Linked DNA regions of Xenopus tropicalis. The protein of the gene in region 3 purifies or fractionates together with the protein of the main gene of each other region. This does not show direct contact. Links are inferred from orthologs where the notes say so. Each region holds a gene or a part of one and is shown on either strand. Other genes may lie near its edges.

The links.
Region 1: the proteins of vbp1 (region 3) and pfdn6 purify together in Homo sapiens (affinity purification with mass spectrometry; 6 studies listed by BioGRID and IntAct, counting the BioPlex papers as one, with this or other methods). This does not show direct contact. The link is inferred for Xenopus tropicalis from reciprocal best matches to the Homo sapiens genes VBP1 and PFDN6.
Region 2: the proteins of vbp1 (region 3) and pfdn5 purify together in Homo sapiens (affinity purification with mass spectrometry; 7 studies listed by BioGRID and IntAct, counting the BioPlex papers as one, with this or other methods). This does not show direct contact. The link is inferred for Xenopus tropicalis from reciprocal best matches to the Homo sapiens genes VBP1 and PFDN5.
Region 4: the proteins of vbp1 (region 3) and pfdn1 purify together in Homo sapiens (affinity purification with mass spectrometry; 4 studies listed by BioGRID and IntAct, counting the BioPlex papers as one, with this or other methods). This does not show direct contact. The link is inferred for Xenopus tropicalis from reciprocal best matches to the Homo sapiens genes VBP1 and PFDN1.
Region 5: the proteins of vbp1 (region 3) and pfdn2 fractionate together in Homo sapiens (co-fractionation; 8 studies listed by BioGRID and IntAct, counting the BioPlex papers as one, with this or other methods). This does not show direct contact. The link is inferred for Xenopus tropicalis from reciprocal best matches to the Homo sapiens genes VBP1 and PFDN2.

What each region holds. Positions count from the first base shown.
Region 1 is NC_030684.2:72,107,074-72,109,389, reverse strand, and holds part of pfdn6 (prefoldin subunit 6), read right to left. Parts: intron 2,125-2,316; coding exon 2,061-2,124; intron 806-2,060; coding exon 735-805; intron 1-734. UniProt on the Homo sapiens protein: Binds specifically to cytosolic chaperonin (c-CPN) and transfers target proteins to it. Binds to nascent polypeptide chain and promotes folding in an environment in which there are many competing pathways for nonnative proteins.
Region 2 is NC_030678.2:147,137,800-147,142,084, forward strand, and holds the start of pfdn5 (prefoldin subunit 5), read right to left. Parts: upstream 2,804-4,285; 5' UTR 2,783-2,803; coding exon 2,711-2,782; intron 2,469-2,710; coding exon 2,366-2,468; intron 2,281-2,365; coding exon 2,249-2,280; intron 1,727-2,248; coding exon 1,652-1,726; intron 1-1,651. UniProt on the Homo sapiens protein: Binds specifically to cytosolic chaperonin (c-CPN) and transfers target proteins to it. Binds to nascent polypeptide chain and promotes folding in an environment in which there are many competing pathways for nonnative proteins.
Region 3 is NC_030684.2:50,630,694-50,634,694, reverse strand, and holds the start of vbp1 (prefoldin subunit 3), read right to left. Parts: upstream 2,813-4,001; 5' UTR 2,789-2,812; coding exon 2,711-2,788; intron 830-2,710; coding exon 705-829; intron 625-704; coding exon 558-624; intron 1-557. UniProt on the Homo sapiens protein: Binds specifically to cytosolic chaperonin (c-CPN) and transfers target proteins to it. Binds to nascent polypeptide chain and promotes folding in an environment in which there are many competing pathways for nonnative proteins.
Region 4 is NC_030679.2:31,788,178-31,792,303, forward strand, and holds the start of pfdn1 (prefoldin subunit 1), read left to right. Parts: upstream 1-1,321; 5' UTR 1,322-1,418; coding exon 1,419-1,451; intron 1,452-2,680; coding exon 2,681-2,847; intron 2,848-4,126. UniProt on the Homo sapiens protein: Binds specifically to cytosolic chaperonin (c-CPN) and transfers target proteins to it. Binds to nascent polypeptide chain and promotes folding in an environment in which there are many competing pathways for nonnative proteins.
Region 5 is NC_030684.2:143,080,144-143,084,163, forward strand, and holds the start of pfdn2 (prefoldin subunit 2), read right to left. Parts: upstream 2,803-4,020; 5' UTR 2,800-2,802; coding exon 2,761-2,799; intron 1,144-2,760; coding exon 1,055-1,143; intron 893-1,054; coding exon 769-892; intron 1-768. UniProt on the Homo sapiens protein: Binds specifically to cytosolic chaperonin (c-CPN) and transfers target proteins to it. Binds to nascent polypeptide chain and promotes folding in an environment in which there are many competing pathways for nonnative proteins.

The DNA.
Region 1 (2,316 bases), about 21 Mb from region 3:
CATGGCTTTTGGGGAGGCGTAAGATATCAAATAGCAAAAACTGATTCCACCAACAATAACTTTGCTTGATGTGGCTGTATTCTCTCTAAACTATAAATATGCTGTATGTGATGGGTGCAGTCAAATAATATAAATAAGCAGTTAGCATTAATAATAAAATAATTATACTAAATATATACACAAATTATTTTTGTTTCTATTTTTCATGTGTAGAATTCAGACCAGGTAAACATTAGGATTAACACATTTTTACACATTTAATACATTTGTCCCTGCTCATTTGCTCCCCTTGTAGGAAAATTATCAGTTGAAGCTTATTACCTGTATCACACCTACCCTTGTAAGTTACCTGATTGACTTAAGTACATTACAGATGTCTGCACAAATTGGATTATGGTCCCTCAAGAAGTGTTTCTTTGCTAAATTAGGAAAGACTGGTATTGTCTCAGTGGGATGACAAAAAGTCACGCAATTTTAAGAATTTGCATTCAGTTCACCCAGGCATGTGCCAGTTCACGTCGGTTTAGCCTGATCTGAATCTTGGCCAAACCCTAAACCAAATGCTGTATTTGGTGCATCCCTACTTTATAATTAAAAGAACGCATGCAGAGTCCTTTTGTAAGGGTCATGTAACTCTGAGGTATGTGGCGAGTTTATATTGCTCTTGTACAAGTGCTTGCATATACATATTGGCATTCATTTGCTAACTATGTTCCCCCCTACCTCAAACTCACCTGTTTGACAATGTTGTTCTCAGTCAACTGAGCCTCAAGCTTCTGCCTGGCTGACATAGTATTGCTGATCTCTAAAGAAAGAGAAGCATGACAGAATAATACCAGCCAATAAAACACAAAAAGCTATAAAAAAAAATTCAAGGACAAGTAACATCAAAAAGTGAAAGTTTATAATTTTTTTTAACATTTAAAGTTTATATCTGTTCATCCAGCATACATAAAAAAAAAATTGCCCCTGTAGGAAGACAGCAGATTTTTTATATAAACTGTATTATCATTTCTGAACACTACCAGTGCAGGGTACATTATATTTCAATTATATTTAAAACAGTGATTTTTGCTGTTACTGGTCCTATTATATATGTGTACCTTTTGGAACTTTCCAAATGTTCCTCCTTAGCTAACAGCAAGCTTATAGATATATGAATATATTGCTGTATCTTTCATTCAATCATGGGCCCAAAAACATCTTGCAAGTTTTATTTCAAGTAACACTGACTTTCCTGACTGAGCTTCCAGCAGTATCAATGATATCAAATTGACATTCTCCCCAAATCTCACCTTAAACGAGACATATCATATAAAAATTAAGAATGTACCAGTGAATTATACTCCTCTAGAAATAGAAGGATTGTGCTTAAAAAAAGATGTGTTTCAGACTGATTTATTGAGAAAATTCCCCCAAACCCCACTAACCCCGCCCATCTGTTCCACTTCCTGCTGGCTGAATTCTCTGGAGCCAGTGGCACTCCTGCCAGCTAGGCTGACCTGATATTGAACTGAAGCCTGACTTTGCTTGCATGACTGCAGGGCTGTGATTGGCTATCCCCCTCCTACTGTGCTTCTGGTAGGGACTTTTAGGACACGCCCACCCGTCAACATTGACAGAGAGGATAGGAAGCTCCAATAAAGGGGCCATTTTTGCAGACAGTATTCAAATTTAGCCCAAAGGGAAACCAGCACCATATAGTATTCATAATTGCCTACAAAATTAGTGTTTTTTCCATTTATCCAATATGTCTCCTTTAACTGACCTCCAAGCCATCCATCCCCCAGACTCTGGGCCTGTGCAGGGGAGCCAGCTCAACACCTGCTTAAGACAGAAACCGCATATCTCAAAGATATTCTTTCCCCTCCAAAAAATTCTTATACTTCAGCAAAAGAGCAACCAAATTACTTCTGTTCCACATGCACATCAGTAACATCACTATTAGAACTATCATTGTGATGCATTTATCAATTAAGAAACGAATGATTATTATCTGCTGCACAAAGGCACAGAGCCAACAAGAGACGAGAGAGATGATATAGAAGTATAATACGTACCTTTCTGGAGCTGTTGGTATTTGTTGATCTCGGATTGTAACTTCTCTTGTAACTGTTCCGCCATCTGTTTATAAATAACATACTTAGACTGTCAGCACACACAAATATATAGAAACTGTTAAATATGAAAAAATTATGACCAGTCCAGGGAAAACATTTACCAATTCAGTCATGTTAAATATCAGTTGTGTTGTTAAAGGTACAGTAACACCAAAGCAAGTGAATATTATATTATGTAATATTCCCTGCACTGGTA
Region 2 (4,285 bases), on a different chromosome or scaffold from region 3:
CCGTGTCTATATCAGACATGTATTTTAATGAGAAAAAATCTCTTTCAGACACTATGAGATTTTGTCTGGTTGTATGAAGACACAGCAGGCAAAGTCGACTACCAAAAGGCACATTGCATCTGATGGCAAAGCTTTCATATAGTTTACACATCAGATTTTTCTATCAGTCCCATTATTTTTTAACCATGCAACTACATTCGACAGGATGCGATCTGTCAAACCAACACCATTCTACAAAATCTCATGTGAAGTTCAGCCCTAAGTTATACCAGTGGGTATATGTGCCCTGTAAAGGCAAATAATCACAATATGCCTTCAAAATTAACTAAGCTTTAATCATACCATATATCTTTCCGAATTCATGAATCTCCTTATATTAAAAACTTACACTACAAGTGCCCAGTGATACATTTATCAGAAACAGATACCTACAGATCCTGTCAGCTTAAAGTGCACTGCATTCATTATATTTTGACTGAGTAAAGATGGCCATACACGCACTGATGATACTGTACAAAACCTCGTTTTGTATGATATTTGGTGCGTGTATGGCAGATCGACAAGATGACCGTTATTGCAAAGGCTGCGGATATCGGTTGTCTCATCGCTCAGCCGGGTTAAAAGATTTTGACTGGGCGCCATTGAAGGCGCCCGAACAAAACCTGCGTTCAGGGCTGAACCGGCAGGTGGAGGTAGAATTCCTATTGTTTCTACCTTCACATCCGATGACTCTGAATGTCAGTGGGGGAAACGAACGATCTTTCCTGCAACTCATGGTCGCAGGAAAGATCGGAATTGCTACATGTATGGCCACCTTTAAAAATAAAATAACATCTTATCTTGGTACTCTGAAACCAAAATATGTATATATTATATAATATATATATATATATATATATAGTGGTTACAAAGCACACTGCTGTTAAATTGCTTAGCTTAACATCCTCTGCTGTAGGCCTAACAAATTCCTTGCAGAGAACTGCAGCTGCCTAAGTCTCCCACTTTGCAAGCAGACAGTTTAACAAAAAAATACTTTTTCTGGGGTAAAAGCACATAGGCCCAGGTTCACTAATATATATAATATATAATAAATATAAGTGCTTCAAGTTATTTTTTCAGTTATAATAAGTGCCATCACTTCTAGAGGTAAATTTCTCTGAGTGATATCAGCACCAAATTACCTCTAGAAGTGATATGGCTACATTGTTGTGAATGTATTGTGGTATGATATTAAAGGGCAACTAAGTAAGCAAGTGTGGATTATTATTTACCTATACAGGGCTTATGCATATGTACAGCAGCTTTACACAAGTAGTCAAATTTCCCTATTGCTGCTTTTCGCTTTCCTACTGGTCTAGCCAATGGTCTCTTGGGCAAAACTTGCACAAGTTCTGCCAATCTTAACTGCGAGAATAACCTGTGCATGTTCCAGAACACGCTAAATTTTAAAAAATAAAAATAAACCAGTTGCTTTTAATTCAACCAATAAAAATTAAATCTGTTTGTCACACCAGATGGTTTGAAGAGTAGCAATAATGTGTTATGTATAGTTAGAAATATACTAACAAACTTTTGCGCAAGAAAATGTTAACAGTAGGTTGCTCATCACAGTCACACCTTAAGCTAAAAAACAAACAAAAAAGTAGCTCACCTTTTCCACATAATATCCAGTACCCACATCGATCAGTATATTTGACACATCATTAAGAGTCCCAGGCACATACATCTACATGAAAGGTTAAGGGGGAAAAAACCCACACACCTACTGTTCTTCTTTAAACACTGTTGTGCAAATACTGGTTTTCTATTTTTTTTTGCTCATTAAAAGGGGAGTTCACCTTTAAGATAACTTTTGGTACATTGTACAATGGCCTATAATATTAGCAACTTTTCAATTGGTCTATATTTTGTATAGCCTGACTGACTGTATACAGTACATTTTTGTCCAAGTACCCAGGAAAAACACACCGTGCTGCTATTCTTGACATGTTTTTCCTACACTATAACAACCATCATCACACTCTTTTAAGCAGTCACCTAAGCAGTTTAGCCATTTAGTGTTTAAACTTTGGATAAAAATGCATTACTGTTTAGTAGATTTTTGACACTTAGCTTGCTACAGACTTACAACGTTCCTTACATTAATAATATAATAAACAAATAGAAGAGAACATACTTTAAAACTGGAAGCAGCTCACTGGTTTTGCCACCATATGGCTTTTTCATAATATAGTGATGAAAAGGATACAGAGCTGGTCAGGGGAACAAGCAGTTGCTTCCCTGTCAGATAAACACATACAGGTTATTAGAGAGAGGAACTAAGCCGACTGACACACCCTACTAACTGGCTGCCGCTGTCACTCACCTTCATTGCTTTTGTTCAGCACACTCAGGCACTCCTTTGCCTCCACATACTTGGTCTGAACCACCTTTAGCTGAGCGATGGAGGAGGACAGGAACTCCACTTCCTATGAAAGGAAAAGGCACATAAGGAAGGCCTTACTAACCCTGTAACCCCGGAGTATGAGCAACACCAGGCTGGGGCGGGACAGCAAAAGCTGCAGTGGGACTCTGGGAGTAAGGGATCCACAGCCACGGGGTGGCCAGAACTCATCCAAGCCAGTTGTGGGACACTACGTTTAGTCGTGGGGAAAAACCAACACAGAGGCATCCCCAATTTAAGACGGCAATGTAAGATTAACTAAGATACCTGGTCCAACTGACTTTTCAATCCCTCCAACTGCGGCAGAGACAAGTCGGTAATGTTCACTGTCTGCGCCATCTTGAGAGAGGAAGAACCCCGCCTTCCTACTACATTACTATAGTGACTGTCTAGCTGGGAAACCGTATATTGTTTGGCGCTCTGTACGCACGGCTAGCGCTCTATGATAGTCCGGAGGCTGCGACGCATGCGTACTAACATGTAAGGGACCGTGTACTTGGCAGATGGTCCGCTTGCTAACATGATATTTATAAATAAGTCAAATCGCAGAAATATATATATATTTTTTTTAGATTTTCTTTTTCTTATTTTGCAAAGAGAGGAATAAGTGCAAAAGTACACAAAATGCTATTGTTACATTAAACTACCTCATTTCTACCAGTAACATGGTATTTCAACAATCAATAGAGAAGAAAGAATAGAGGAACATATAGAGTAGGAAACAAACAGTAGGAAACGGAAGAAGAGAGACCCCCCCATAACAATATAATATTTTAAGAATCTATGCAGTAGGTTAAGCACTGTTTTTTAAGAAATTTTGAAATTCACTAAAAATTTACATTTTGCAGTCATGTATCACACATTCTTGTGTACAAAGAAAGATTAGCCATAATATGAATGCTCATACATGAAAATAGTACACATTAAAGTTCTACAGGCAAAAGCAAGTCATCAGGACAATGCAAAATGTAGTCACAAAAAAAATACTTTAACTTGACTTGCTGTTGTAGTGTCATCAGTCCCAGACAGTGTTGCATTTCTTAAAAAATACATAAAAATAAATACAAAGTAATGCCTTTTTGGTCTTTAGGCAAGTGAGGAGGAGGGAGCAGAATTTGTTTGGTTAGTTGGTGGATTTAGTTATTCCAAAAGAGAGTTTTCCACCCAACATTTAGTAAACCCGAATGGGGCTAATTGTTTGTGTTGTTTTCCCATTGACAAATGTGTCTAGGTATTTGTTCCAAACGCTATAGAACAGTGATCCTCTTGATTATTAATCTTGAAGAGCTAAGACCCACTGAAGTTGCACAGTATGTAGAAGCTTATGTTCTCGTAATTGCTTTGATGGGGGTTGTGTTGCTGTCCAACATTACGGGATTGATTTGACTGCTTTTAATACAAGTATTTCTGCCAGTCTAAGGTTACCTTTCTTAGCTTTATTGATGGGCTTCGGTATGACCCTAGAAGTATCTGTGGGTTACTGGAATGTTGCATAGCATATTAATTTGTGTTAAATCCTCTTCTTAAAAGGCATCTATTGCAGTGAAAGTTCATAGGACATGTTCTAAACTGCCTTCCACATGGGGGCAGCATTGCATTTCTTTTTGCATCTCCTTTTCAGAGTTGACATGCTTCAAAATACTGATTGTAGAATATGTAGAATATGTTGGCACTTAATAAATAAATGTTATTAATAATACTGCTCTCTTCACCAGTACTTCTGCCAGAGATATTCTTTGGTCTCCCCACAGGCACCATGATAGCATTTCACCTGCTAGACTCACACCCCTCTCAATGGGAAATAAAGTACTTTGCTGCAGCTACATCTACAAACAGAATTCC
Region 3 (4,001 bases):
AATTGGCGCCCAAGTGCAGCCGATGACATCAATGTTTGGGCAGTAATCACCCACCAACCGTGCATCAATAAACACAAAGTTTTTTACACAATTAAAAACTATTCAGAAACATTGTCAGAGAGAATCTACTGTAGAGCAATATGCAGAAAAGGAGGAAAGAATTAGGCAATATGAAGAGCAACCTGTAAAGCTGAACTGCAAATTACCCACTCAAGTCAAGTGTACAGGGAAGGGAAGCAAGGGGTCACATGTAAGGAGGCAGGAGAACATGACCAGTTGCTTAAAAGCTATAAAGATCAGCATTATTGGGCACACTAATATATAGAAAGTGGAATAAAAATACAAATAAAAAATAAAGACCAATTGCAAGTTGTTTCAGAATATTACTCTCTACGTCATGATAAAAGTTAACTCAAAAGTGAACAACCCTTTTAAGTCCACTGTACTTCTGAAGGTAATGAGAGAAATTTTAGTGTGCAGAGCTACTTAATGTGGAAAAATATGCATCAACCATATGCAATAAATTAAAAGCTGTTCTTTGGCTTTTAATGCATTACCTTTTTCTTCTGCATGTGTTTTAAAATTTCTAAGGTCTGCTTAATTTCTGGAATCTGGCTCTTTAGCCTGAAAAAGACAAAATAAATTGTTAGGTTTCTTATACAAAATGATACTGGCATATTAGAAAGAGCAAGCCACCAACATACCTTCTTTTTTTCTGGGTCAAATTAAGTTCCATAAATTTATATTTCTGATACTGCTCATCCAGTTTCTTGAGTACTGCATCTGCTGTCTCATTTCCAGGTTTCTTCATAAAAGCATCTACATCTTCCTATTGAAAGCAAACATTTCAGCATCACATATAGGCTCCTTATAATTGACCACCAGTAGTGCAATGATAAAACTGCAATCCAAAACAGTCTTTAAACAAGGTATGGGCCATCTGTTCTGGGGCACAGTCTCTGTCCTATACCACTACTTGTGGATAACCCTTTTACTTACCGATTTTCTAGAAGATTATCTAACTATTAGCAGCCGGCTAAATATTTGTAGTCCCTGCTTATGGTCTCCATAGACTGCGGGCATATTACATTATTTTGATAGACCCTGTTTTACAAACATATCATGATAATATGTCCACTAATTTGTACAGTGCACAGTTGGTGTCACTCATTGATAAGAAGATTTCCTATACAGACCTGTATGTGCACCATACAAAAATAATCCTTTGCCAATCTTTCTATAATTTACAGGAAGAACATTGATAAGTTTATATTTATACTGAGAGCTAGAATAACACATTTTGTTCAATTTATCTCCCACATTTAAACAGTAAGCTCTAGGGCACAGAGACCCTCTTCCTTTTGTCTCAATGCTAAATAAGGGGTACACTAAGGGCCTTGTCATGATGGCGGCTCGGAAACACAAAAGTGAGAAGTAAATGCAACAGAGCAACAAAGAGGGCCAGGGACGTTATGTTAAATAACGGCATAGCCCAGGGATATCTAGAGCATGGACAAGACATTACTTATATAGATGAGTTTTTATTTATTTTTAAACCACTTCTTGGTTAGGCAGACAGCTAAGGACCCAGGCCCCTTTGGGGGAAGGGGTGGAACCCTACTAACTTAGTTGTATTGGCAGGGTCGGTTTTATAAACAGGACCCAATTAAGACCATTTTGGCAGGCCCCCTACACAAGGTGTTGCCAGCTGGCACAAGATTCCAAGATTCTCTTTCTCTCTGTCCATGTAACTGATGATGTAACCCTGCCCTATCACCTTTCTTTCTCGTTACATTGGCCCCCAACAAATCATGGCACACTGTGGCCCCCAAGCACTAGGCACTGAAACACCAAGCATTCTATATACAGTTTGAGTGATTATTGGCCCCTCAAGCACACACTACACAGTGAAAGACTCTTCGTGGATGCCACATACTTTGGTATATCAATGCATATTGGTCATTATATTGGTTCTAGGGGGTCTTATGACCAGGACTGTACTGGGATTCAAAATAGGCCCTGGCATTTCTAGGACACAGAGGCCCAAACAGCCCCCACCAGCCCACTACATAGTGACAGTCTATGGCAGTGATCCCCAACCAGTGGCTCCTGAGCAACATGTTGCTCCCCAACCCCTTGGATGTTGCTCACCAACTGCTTTATATACTTATTCCCACTGGTGCAGGGCCCAATAGGTCCAAAAGGCCAGCCCTGAATATTGGTCCCTGCAATGTCAGACAGCATCCCTGGCCTTACATATAACTGCATTATTTCTTTCTTTTCTATAAACTGTATTGCTCCACTTCTGGTCTCGGAATTTACTGTTTAGCCCTGCACTTGAAAGTAGTGCTATAAAAATACACATACATAGAACTATACTAGGGCCAATTATACCATAGTGAAACCACTCTATAACCTAAAGAAATGAAGGTGTGCAACTCACAGGCACGGAGCCCATAGAAACGGCCCGCAAAAGAAATCTGCCAACAAATGTAGTTACGCATGTCACAGGTCGGGCATAGTAACGCAGTAACCAGGCTCCATATAGAGTCAAGCTTTGTGAAAGGAACACGCCTAGATAACCATGCGGACAGTGGCCCAGAGCTGGCCTACACTCACACAAACACTATAACGCTACCAGCAGGGACAACACACAAGTCGTTTTGTAGCACAAGCCTTGGCACCAGTTAATTGCTCTTTTAGCCCTTACCACAAACACTGCCTCCGGAATTCCCAAATGAGTCCGTTTCAGTCCAGCAACACCGGCTCCCTCACTGGTCACCGCCATCTTGGAAGCAGTGCGTACCTTGCGTCAACACGTTTTAATGCTATGGGTTCGCTTCCAGAATGGCCACGCCCCCAAAGGTACTGATAGGCTGCTGCGCTCTGACAGCGAGAGATGATCTCCTAGTTTGGTCTTGTGGGTTAATTGTGCGCAGACTGGGGAGGCAAAGGCCTGACAGTGCTTCCTCTGATTCTAACCGAGGTAGCATGCTGGCACTAGCGTAACTAGCAGCTACTGGGTCAAACACTTTTGGGCAGCACTCCCAGTGAAAAATGTAGAAACGCAACATTCCGATAAATATCCATTGTAAAAAAAGAAAACTAAAAACAACCATTTTCTTGAGAGAAATTTAGTATTGTCCTCTGATTACCCCATGCTGCATGCGTCTGCTTTATGCCTGCTGGCCATTCGCTTTCCCTGTCGTATTTTTTATGTGTTGTGGTCATCTCAGGCACATTAGCTTTACATAAACAAACCAATATGATATTGAAAATACTGGAAATAAAGTTGCAGTCGGGTCCTAAAGAGCAAGTAAACTGTGCCTCAAGGTAGTAAAATGTGTGTTGCTTATCCAATTGGCAGACTCGTCAGCAGAAATTCAAATGTATGTGTGTTTGAGTCAGACAACAGGTCACAGGTGAACACAGAGTGAGGATGTGGTTAAACTAAACTGTTGCACCAGGGTGTAGAGCCCAAATCCACATCACTGATCTGGTGGAGAGAGGACCTCTGCCCCAGTACTAAGGCGAAGACACACAGAGCTACTAGTAGCAGCTACAGAAATAGACAATGCTGATCATTTACTAATAATTGTCTCTACATGTGTTTTAGCACAGGCAAAAAACCCCATCTGAGGAAGGCAAAAAACCCCATCTGAAGCCTCTCTAATTTGCCGCAGAGGGGAAAAAATTCCTTCCTGACTCCAAGATGGCAATCGGACCAGTCCCTGGATCATCTAGTACTGAGAGCTATCCCCCATAACCCTGTATTCCCTCACTTGCTAAGAATCCATCCAGCCCCTTCTTAAAGTTATATAATGTATCAGCCAGCACAACTGATTTGGGGAGGGAATTCCAGAACTTCACAGCTCTCACAGTAAAAAATCCTTTCCGAATATTTAAATGGAACCTCCCTTCTTCTAAACGAAGTGGGTGCCCTCGTGTCCGTTGGAAGGACCTACTGGTAAATAAAACATTAGAAAGGTTATTATATGATC
Region 4 (4,126 bases), on a different chromosome or scaffold from region 3:
ATATAAACTGATGCTACAGGGCTAATTATTCAATTTTGATGCAATTGCCCTGGTTTCAGATCTGTCATGTAATGTAAATGAATTACTAATCAGCCTTTCACTGTTACATTTATATTCTGTATATACAGTATATTGTGAGTGGGTCCCTAAGCTCAAGTAAGTGACTGCAACACAGAGCATGTGCAGGGAATCAGCAGAAAAGAAGATGGGGGGGGGGCTACTGGAGGGCATCTTTGGGGGCACAGATCTTCCCTGCAAAAGGGCTGTTTGTGCCTTGGGCTGGTACAGAAACCCATAACATAATTCACAAAATTTCAGCCCTACTTCTTTGTTAAAAAGTGTGCACAAAAGAAATTATTTGTGTACCCTGCCAAGAAGAAATTGGTTTAAGGGCACTGCTGTATGGGGCAGATTCTGCAGTTAACTTGCAGGCCGAGAATCTGCTGTGTGGCAGTGCCCTAAAAATCCCACTGGCATGTTGATGAGGCCTACATGGGTGCCAATTATGTTTATGGCCCTAGGGAAAAAGTGGCTGTTTAGTTCAAAACTAGACAGGTGTCAACCCCCAAGTGCACTGACAAGTGATTCCTGTGTTAGTCCATTCAGTGGTCATCTTTAGTGTTTTACCAGCTGCTAGGGCTGTCCAGTGCAGCCGTAAGCACCAGACTTCTGACCTCGCCCCCCTCGTATACAGCTACACTTTTTTTCTTTTTAATATAGGCACCCCTAGCGCTGCCCTACATAAATATGGCCCATGCACCCATGAGCTAAATCATGCACAGGGGATCTTGTCTGAGCAAGATCACCTTCAGGCTGGGCTTTTAGAACTATCTCCCAAAATAAGAAATATTTCTTTAACGTTGCCCCATTTTCAGCCATGATTTCAATTTATGGCGTTTGTAACTGCTTACAAAATACAGTCTAATTCAAGATTCCAGAAACATATGGGATAAACAGTCTAGAAACTCATAACAATCCTATTGGGTGCGAATCGAATTACAACCCTTCCCCATATATTTCTACATATAACTCCCCAGCCACTGTGTCACTGCCGGTTTAACACGTTGTGTGTAAATCACGCACACATATTTGTTTATATGTTACATCACACGTTACACCCTTGGTTCACTCTACACAAAACATAACTTCTGTGGCAAAACAAACTACTAGCAACCATGGCTCAAATATCTTTAAACAGTAAGAGCTCTCGCTGCTAAGCCACAACTCAACCAATCCTCCAGCAACTATACGCTGGGCGTTTCCCAAGAACGCCCACCAATGCGCCCAGCTTCACCTTAGCAGCTGCCAATTGGAATTGCCAGTAAAGCACCAAGAGCCAATCACAAGGCTGCTTGCGATGACGGCGGTATAGCGTATGGTTTCCTCGCCGCCGCGTTGCGCATGTGCCCGGCTTTAATATGGCTACCCCTGTGGATCTAGAGCTGAAGAAGGTAATAATAATTGTATTTCATTTATACTAATGATTTTTATCATGTACGTGTTTTCATGTAAGTGTATGTTTATATAAGAATTCAGATGCTGGTGAATTCACGGTGCCTGCAGGATGAATGTGCTTTTGGCTGGAGTGCGGCCAGGCAGCTAGTGCATACGCTCGGTGGAATGCGAATGTAGTCGTTTTTGTATTTCTAGTAGGGAACTGTATTTGTAGTAAAGAATTTTGATATCATTTGATTTGTGTGTGTGTATATATATATATATATATATATATATATATATATATATATATATATATATATATATATATATACATATATATACATATACATATACATATACATACACACACATACATACATACATACATACTCACACTCTATAAACCCATAGTTCTATAAACGAACACTTGTTTTTTTCCAAATACATAAAGAAGGGAAATTTAATAAAGTATATTTACTATTAATGTAAGATTCATCCTTTTGGAAGGCACTATCTCCCAGTGCATTGTTTATTTGCAATTAAAACAGTCTTTAGAACGCAAAAACATTGCTGTTAAATCTTTGCTTACACCTAAAATTTGGGGGCTTAAGTGTTTAGTAAGATTGGAGATAAATATCACTGGTGATGTTGCCCATAGCAACCAATCAGATATTTGATTTTCATTTCTAACTTGTAGGTGACTGTTCAAATCTAATTCCTGATTGGTTGCTATGGGCAACATAGCCAGTGATATTTATCTCCAATCTTACTAAACATGCCCCTGTGTCCTACATCTGTGGTTTGCTTGACAGACTTTTTCAGTTCAAGCCCACCTTGGAGCCCAGTTAGTTCATAACAAGGTGTATGGAAATGTTGTATCAGCTATTCAGGAAGGGCTCCCGGAATACCCATTTTCACACCAAATTTCTCTCTAACTGAGCTTCTCGCTGGGTTTTTAGAAAAATAGGCCCTCAAGTGGGCCATACAGGGGCCCATTCAGACCAAGTTGACAACATATCAGCCTGTTTATGAGTAATGTGAGACTGCTTGACTGACATTTGCAAAGGATGCACTTTTACAAGCAGAGTAGTTTAAAAACTGGATAGTTTCTAAAATATTAAAAATATTACCTGCTTACACAATCTTGGGTGAAACTCAGATGTAGAGATTGGCAGTGGCTAGAAAGCATTAGCGAGGACAGCACTTAGATACAAATTGTTTAAAACCATGTTTTGTATTGCAGGCTTTCACAGAGCTTCAAGCCAAAGTTATTGATACCCAGCAGAAAGTTAAACTTGCAGATCTACAAATTGAGCAGCTAAATAGAACAAAGAAGCATGCATATCTTACCAATGCAGAAATTATGAACCTGTCTGATTCAACGCCTATGTATGAAGGAGTAGGAAGAATGTAAGTAATGCTGTTTTGCTTTAATCATACAGTCATGCATTAACTTGTCTTTTTAAGTGTAAATTGTAAAGAAAAGTAGACCTTCGGCCCACTCTCCCCTTCTCTGTTCACTCAATTTCTTTAATCTCTTAATTACGCAGTTTTACATAATATTATCTATCCTTTCCTCCATTTCTTCAGTTTCTTTTCATATAGGATTGAGTAATGGCCATGGTATACGCATACAAGGCAAATGGTTGGGTGAGCAGGAGGGCCCACTGACACTTGGGCCACCGGGAGTTTTCCTTGTATCCTGGTGGGCCAGTCAGACACTGCACAGACCTACCGATCCCTTCGAGGGCCAAAAGACAGAAAAAATACAAGGGACCATATACTCTATGGATGCCTTTCTGTTGTTCCTTGTATTCATAGGGAATGAAGGGAACAGTTCCTCATCTTCCATACACAGGCTGTAATGGGTTCTTAGCAGGTTACATATTTATACCCACCCAAATGACAAACCAATCAAAGTACATGGATATAGGCTGCCACGCACATACTGAAAATCGTTAACTGTGTTCCTATGTAATCCCCATTTGACTGTGCCAATGACTGTATTTATAGACTGGCTATTGTTAAAAACCAAGAACTTTTTGGTTTTCTTACATAACCATTGCTGTGGAGAATAGAAAGTACTTATTCATAGGCGAATGATTCAATATTAACACATTTCTAAAGGTGGAAAGCATTAAAGGCCAAAAAAAATGCATTAGTATTTCAGATGCTTTAAATGTTCCGTATGCCTTTAGAACAGAAAGTCTACATTTAGGAGGGCGTTATAGTCACTAGTATAAGTGGAACTTTATAGTTTAGGTAATCCATTGATCTCAGGGAACATGCTTATCTGCAGCTGGGAAGTCCATATATATTAAAATTTAGTTGAATGCGCTTGAATGCACTTGTGCAATAGCCCTCTACAGAGGGTTCTGAACAGCAACTTCATTGGAATAGGCCATACATAGGCAGATTTAAGTCAAGCACCAGCCTAGGGCACAGAACTCTTTTGTTTGTCTGTTTCCCCTTACTTCGGGCCCCAGTTGACTGGGAGAACTGCCAGAAGTCAGAGAGAGCAGCCGCTATTTTGCACTCGCTCGGGGGGGGAGTGGGTGCAGTATAGCCGTCGCTTACTCTTCCAGTCAGTGTGCGCTCGTTACAGGAGGGGTGGGCACGGAGCAGTGCGAGCTGGGGGGGGGGGGGGGCAAAGTTCTAAATTCGCCTGTCATTGATTTAAGCTCCTCAG
Region 5 (4,020 bases), about 92 Mb from region 3:
GGAATCATTTAACCATTAAATAAACCCAATAGGGCTGTTCTGCCCCCAATAAGGGGTAATTATATCTTAGTTGGGATCAAGTACAGGTACTGTTTTATTATTACAGAGAAAAGGGAATCATTTAACCATGAAATAAACCCAATAGGGCTGTTCTGCCCCAATAAGGGGTAATTATATCTTAGTTGGGATCAAGTACAGGTACTGTTTTATTATTACAGAGAAAAGGGAATCATTTAACCATGAAATAAACCCAATAGGGCTGTTCTGCCCCAATAAGGGGTAATTATATCTTAGTTGGGATCAAGTACAGGTACTGTTTTATTATTACAGAGAAAAGGGAATCATTTAACCATTAAACCCAATAGGGCTGTTCTGCCCCAATAAGGGGTAATTATATCTTAGTTGGGATCAAGTACAGGTACTGTTTTATTATTACAGAGAAAAGGGAATCATTTAACCATGAAATAAACCCAATAGGGCTGTTCTGCCCCCAATAAGGGGTAATTATATCTTAGTTGGGATCAAGTACAGGTACTGTTTTATTATTACAGAGAAAAGGGAATCATTTAACCATTAAATAAACCCAATAGGACTGTTCTGCCCCAATAAGGGGTAATTATATCTTAGTTGGGATCAAGTACAGGTACTGTTTTATTATTACAGAGAAAAGGGAATCATTTAACCATTAAATAAACCCAATAGGGCTGTTCTGCCCCCAATAAAGGTTAATATGCCCTTTAATTAGGTGCCCACAAGGCAGAGCCTTACCTGCTCTTTATTATTCTCCAAAGCCGGAAGCACTTCCTTCACGGTGCGTTCCACCAGTACCCCCCCGACCATCCGGAAACACTTCCTGCCCTGCTCCACTTCCTTCAGGGTGTCGATAACCAACCTGCGGAGCGAGGGAGACGACTGTCAGTTAGTTAGGGAGATCTGCACTGGTTCCGACTACAGAACAAATGTAGCGTGCAACAGAGAGGAATAACGACCCTCGGGGAGAATCACATTGAAGGATTCTTCATTGCTGAACGACCTGTTTGCTAATGAGACTCACGTGTGTTCGTTAAGCTCCATCTCCAGTTCCGCTGCCTTGGACGCGAGACCTCGCTGCTCCTGGCGCAGGCGATTAAATCCAGCCACCACCTGTAGCAACAAACACAGAACGTACATATTAAACAAGGGTATTTGGCTTAACTTTCCCTTTAATGGCAACTCTTAAACAATGTGGGCAAACAGATCAGCCCAGCATTGGCTCATCTTCTTACAGGGGCCTATGGGGTCCAATATCCAGAAACCCTTTATCCATAATGTTCCATAGACTTCTTTTTTAATCACGTTAAAAAGTTATTTCCCTTTTCTCTGTAATAATAAAACAGTACCTGTACTTGATCCCAACTAAGATATAATTACCCCTTATTGGGGGCAGAACAGCCCTATTGGGTTTATTTCATGGTTAAATGATTCCCTTTTCTCTGTAATAATAAAACAGTACCTGTACTTGATCCCAACTAAGATATAATTACCCCTTATTGGGGCAGAACAGCCCTATTGGGTTTATTTAATGGTTAAACAATTCCCTTTTCTCTGTAATAATAAAACAGTACCTGTACTTGATCCCAACTTAGATATAATTACCCCTTATTGGGGGCAGAACAGCCCTATTGGGTTTATTTAATGGTTAAATGATTCCCTTTTCTCTGTAATAATAAAACAGTACCTGTACTTGATCCCAACTAAGATATAATTACCCCTTATTGGGGGCAGAACAGCCCTATTGGGTTTATTTAATGGTTAAATGATTCCCTTTTCTCTGTAATAATAAAACAGTACCTGTACTTGATCCCAACTAAGATATAATTACCCCTTATTGGGGCAGAACAGCCCTATTGGGTTTATTTCATGGTTAAATGATTCCCTTTTCTCTGTAATAATAAAACAGTACCTGTACTTGATCCCAACTAAGATATAATTACCCCTTATTGGGGCAGAACAGCCCTATTGGGTTTATTTAATGGTTAAATGATTCCCTTTTCTCTGTAATAATAAAACAGTACCTGTACTTGATCCCAACTAAGATATAATTACCCCTTATTGGGGGCAGAACAGCCCTATTGGGTTTATTTCATGGTTAAATGATTCCCTTTTCTCTGTAATAATAAAACAGTACCTGTACTTGATCCCAACTAAGATATAATTACCCCTTATTGGGGCAGAACAGCCCTATTGGGTTTATTTAATGGTTAAATGATTCCCTTTTCTCTGTAATAATAAAACAGTACCTGTACTTGATCCCAACTAAGATATAATTACCCCTTATTGGGGCAGAACAGCCCTATTGGGTTTATTTAATGGTTAAATGATTCCCTTTTCTCTGTAATAATAAAACACTAAGGTGCCCCAGTCCCATTGTTGAACCCCCTTCCAACTGAGGGATTATGGGATATCACTAACAGCTCAGTACCATAGCAACACTGCTACCAAGCTGGCTAGCAACAGTTTCTAGGAAGCAGAAGAGCCGGCTGCTCCTGGGCTGCTGTGGGAAGGCTATCAGGGATCCCAATAGGGAATGAATCTGAGTAAATGCCCAAGGAAGCCTGTTCCCACTGAGCTTATAATAGCACATGTGTCTATATAAGGGAATGAATGGCCATAATGAAAAAAGGGCTTTGGGCTTAGTTGCCCTTTAAACGGCCGGTTGGGGGGGGGGGGTACCGGCCGGGCAGACCCCCCAGCAGCCATTATGCCCACCATGCCCAGTACCTGCTCGGCCGCCACCTGCTTCGCTGCATTAGACGCCATCACGCTTCTCTCTCGCACTGCGCACCTTCTCCGCGCAGCGGAAGTCTATGCGTTCCGACGCCACTTCCGCCCGGGAAGTCCTGGCGGCGCCATGTTGAGAGAGGGAAAAGCATGACTGGAAGCGCCTGGTTGGTGGGGCGCATAAGCCGCGTCATAGTCGGGCCGTAGTAAGTGACGTCAACACATTGTGACAGCTGAGGCCTCCTGGGAAAGTGTGTGTGTCAGATATATCGCCGCTTCTTTATAGCCCGTGCGGGGGGGCTGCGTAATGCGATTGGCTAATGGGGTGTCCGGAAGTCTCTAAACTACAGATCCCAGAATGCTCAGCCAAAGCCCGGGGAGCTGACGTTAGCCTCCTGTTGTCATGTGACTACTCCCTAGTGCGCCTGTTATTGGTCAGCCACCATTTCTGGGGTTTCTCTGCCCAGATGCAGGTTAAATAAACATATATAACTACACTAGAGAATAACAAGTCAAATGGGGTTCATCTTGGGGTTCCCAGCTCATTCCCTATCTTGGTAAAGAGATTAAAGGGAAAGTAAAGTCTTAGCACTTAGTGTCTTGGACTAAATCTCCCAATCCTGTTTCCCATTTATTTCTTTATAGTTTTTAAATAAATTCTTCTTCTGCCTCTTTGCAGCTTTCAAATGGGGGTCACTGACCCCGGCAGCCAAACCCTATTGCTCTGTGAGGCTCCAGTTTTATTGTTATTGTTACTTTTTATTCCTTATCTTTCTATTCAGCCCCTCCCCTATTTATATACCCGCCTCTCATTCAAATCACTCCCTGGTTGCTAAGGTAATTTGAGCCCTAGCAACAGTATAACTGACCCCGGCAGCCAAACCCTATTGCTCTTTGAGGCTCCAGTTTTATTGTTACTTTTTATTCCTTATCTTTCTATTCAGCCCCTCCCCTATTTATATACCCGCCTCTCATTCAAATCACTCCCTGGTTGCTAAGGTAATTTGAGCCCTAGCAACAGTATAACTGACCCCGGCAGCCAAACCCTATTGCTCTGTGAGGCTCCAGTTTTATTGTTATTGTTACTTTTTATTCCTTATCTCTCTATTCAGCCCCTCCCCTATTCATATACCCGCCTCTCATTCAAATCACTCCCTGGTTGCTAAGGTAATTTGAGCCCTAGCAACAGTATAACTGACCCTGGCAGCCAAACCCTATTGCTCTGTGAGGCTCCAGTTTATTGTTATTGTTACTTTTTAT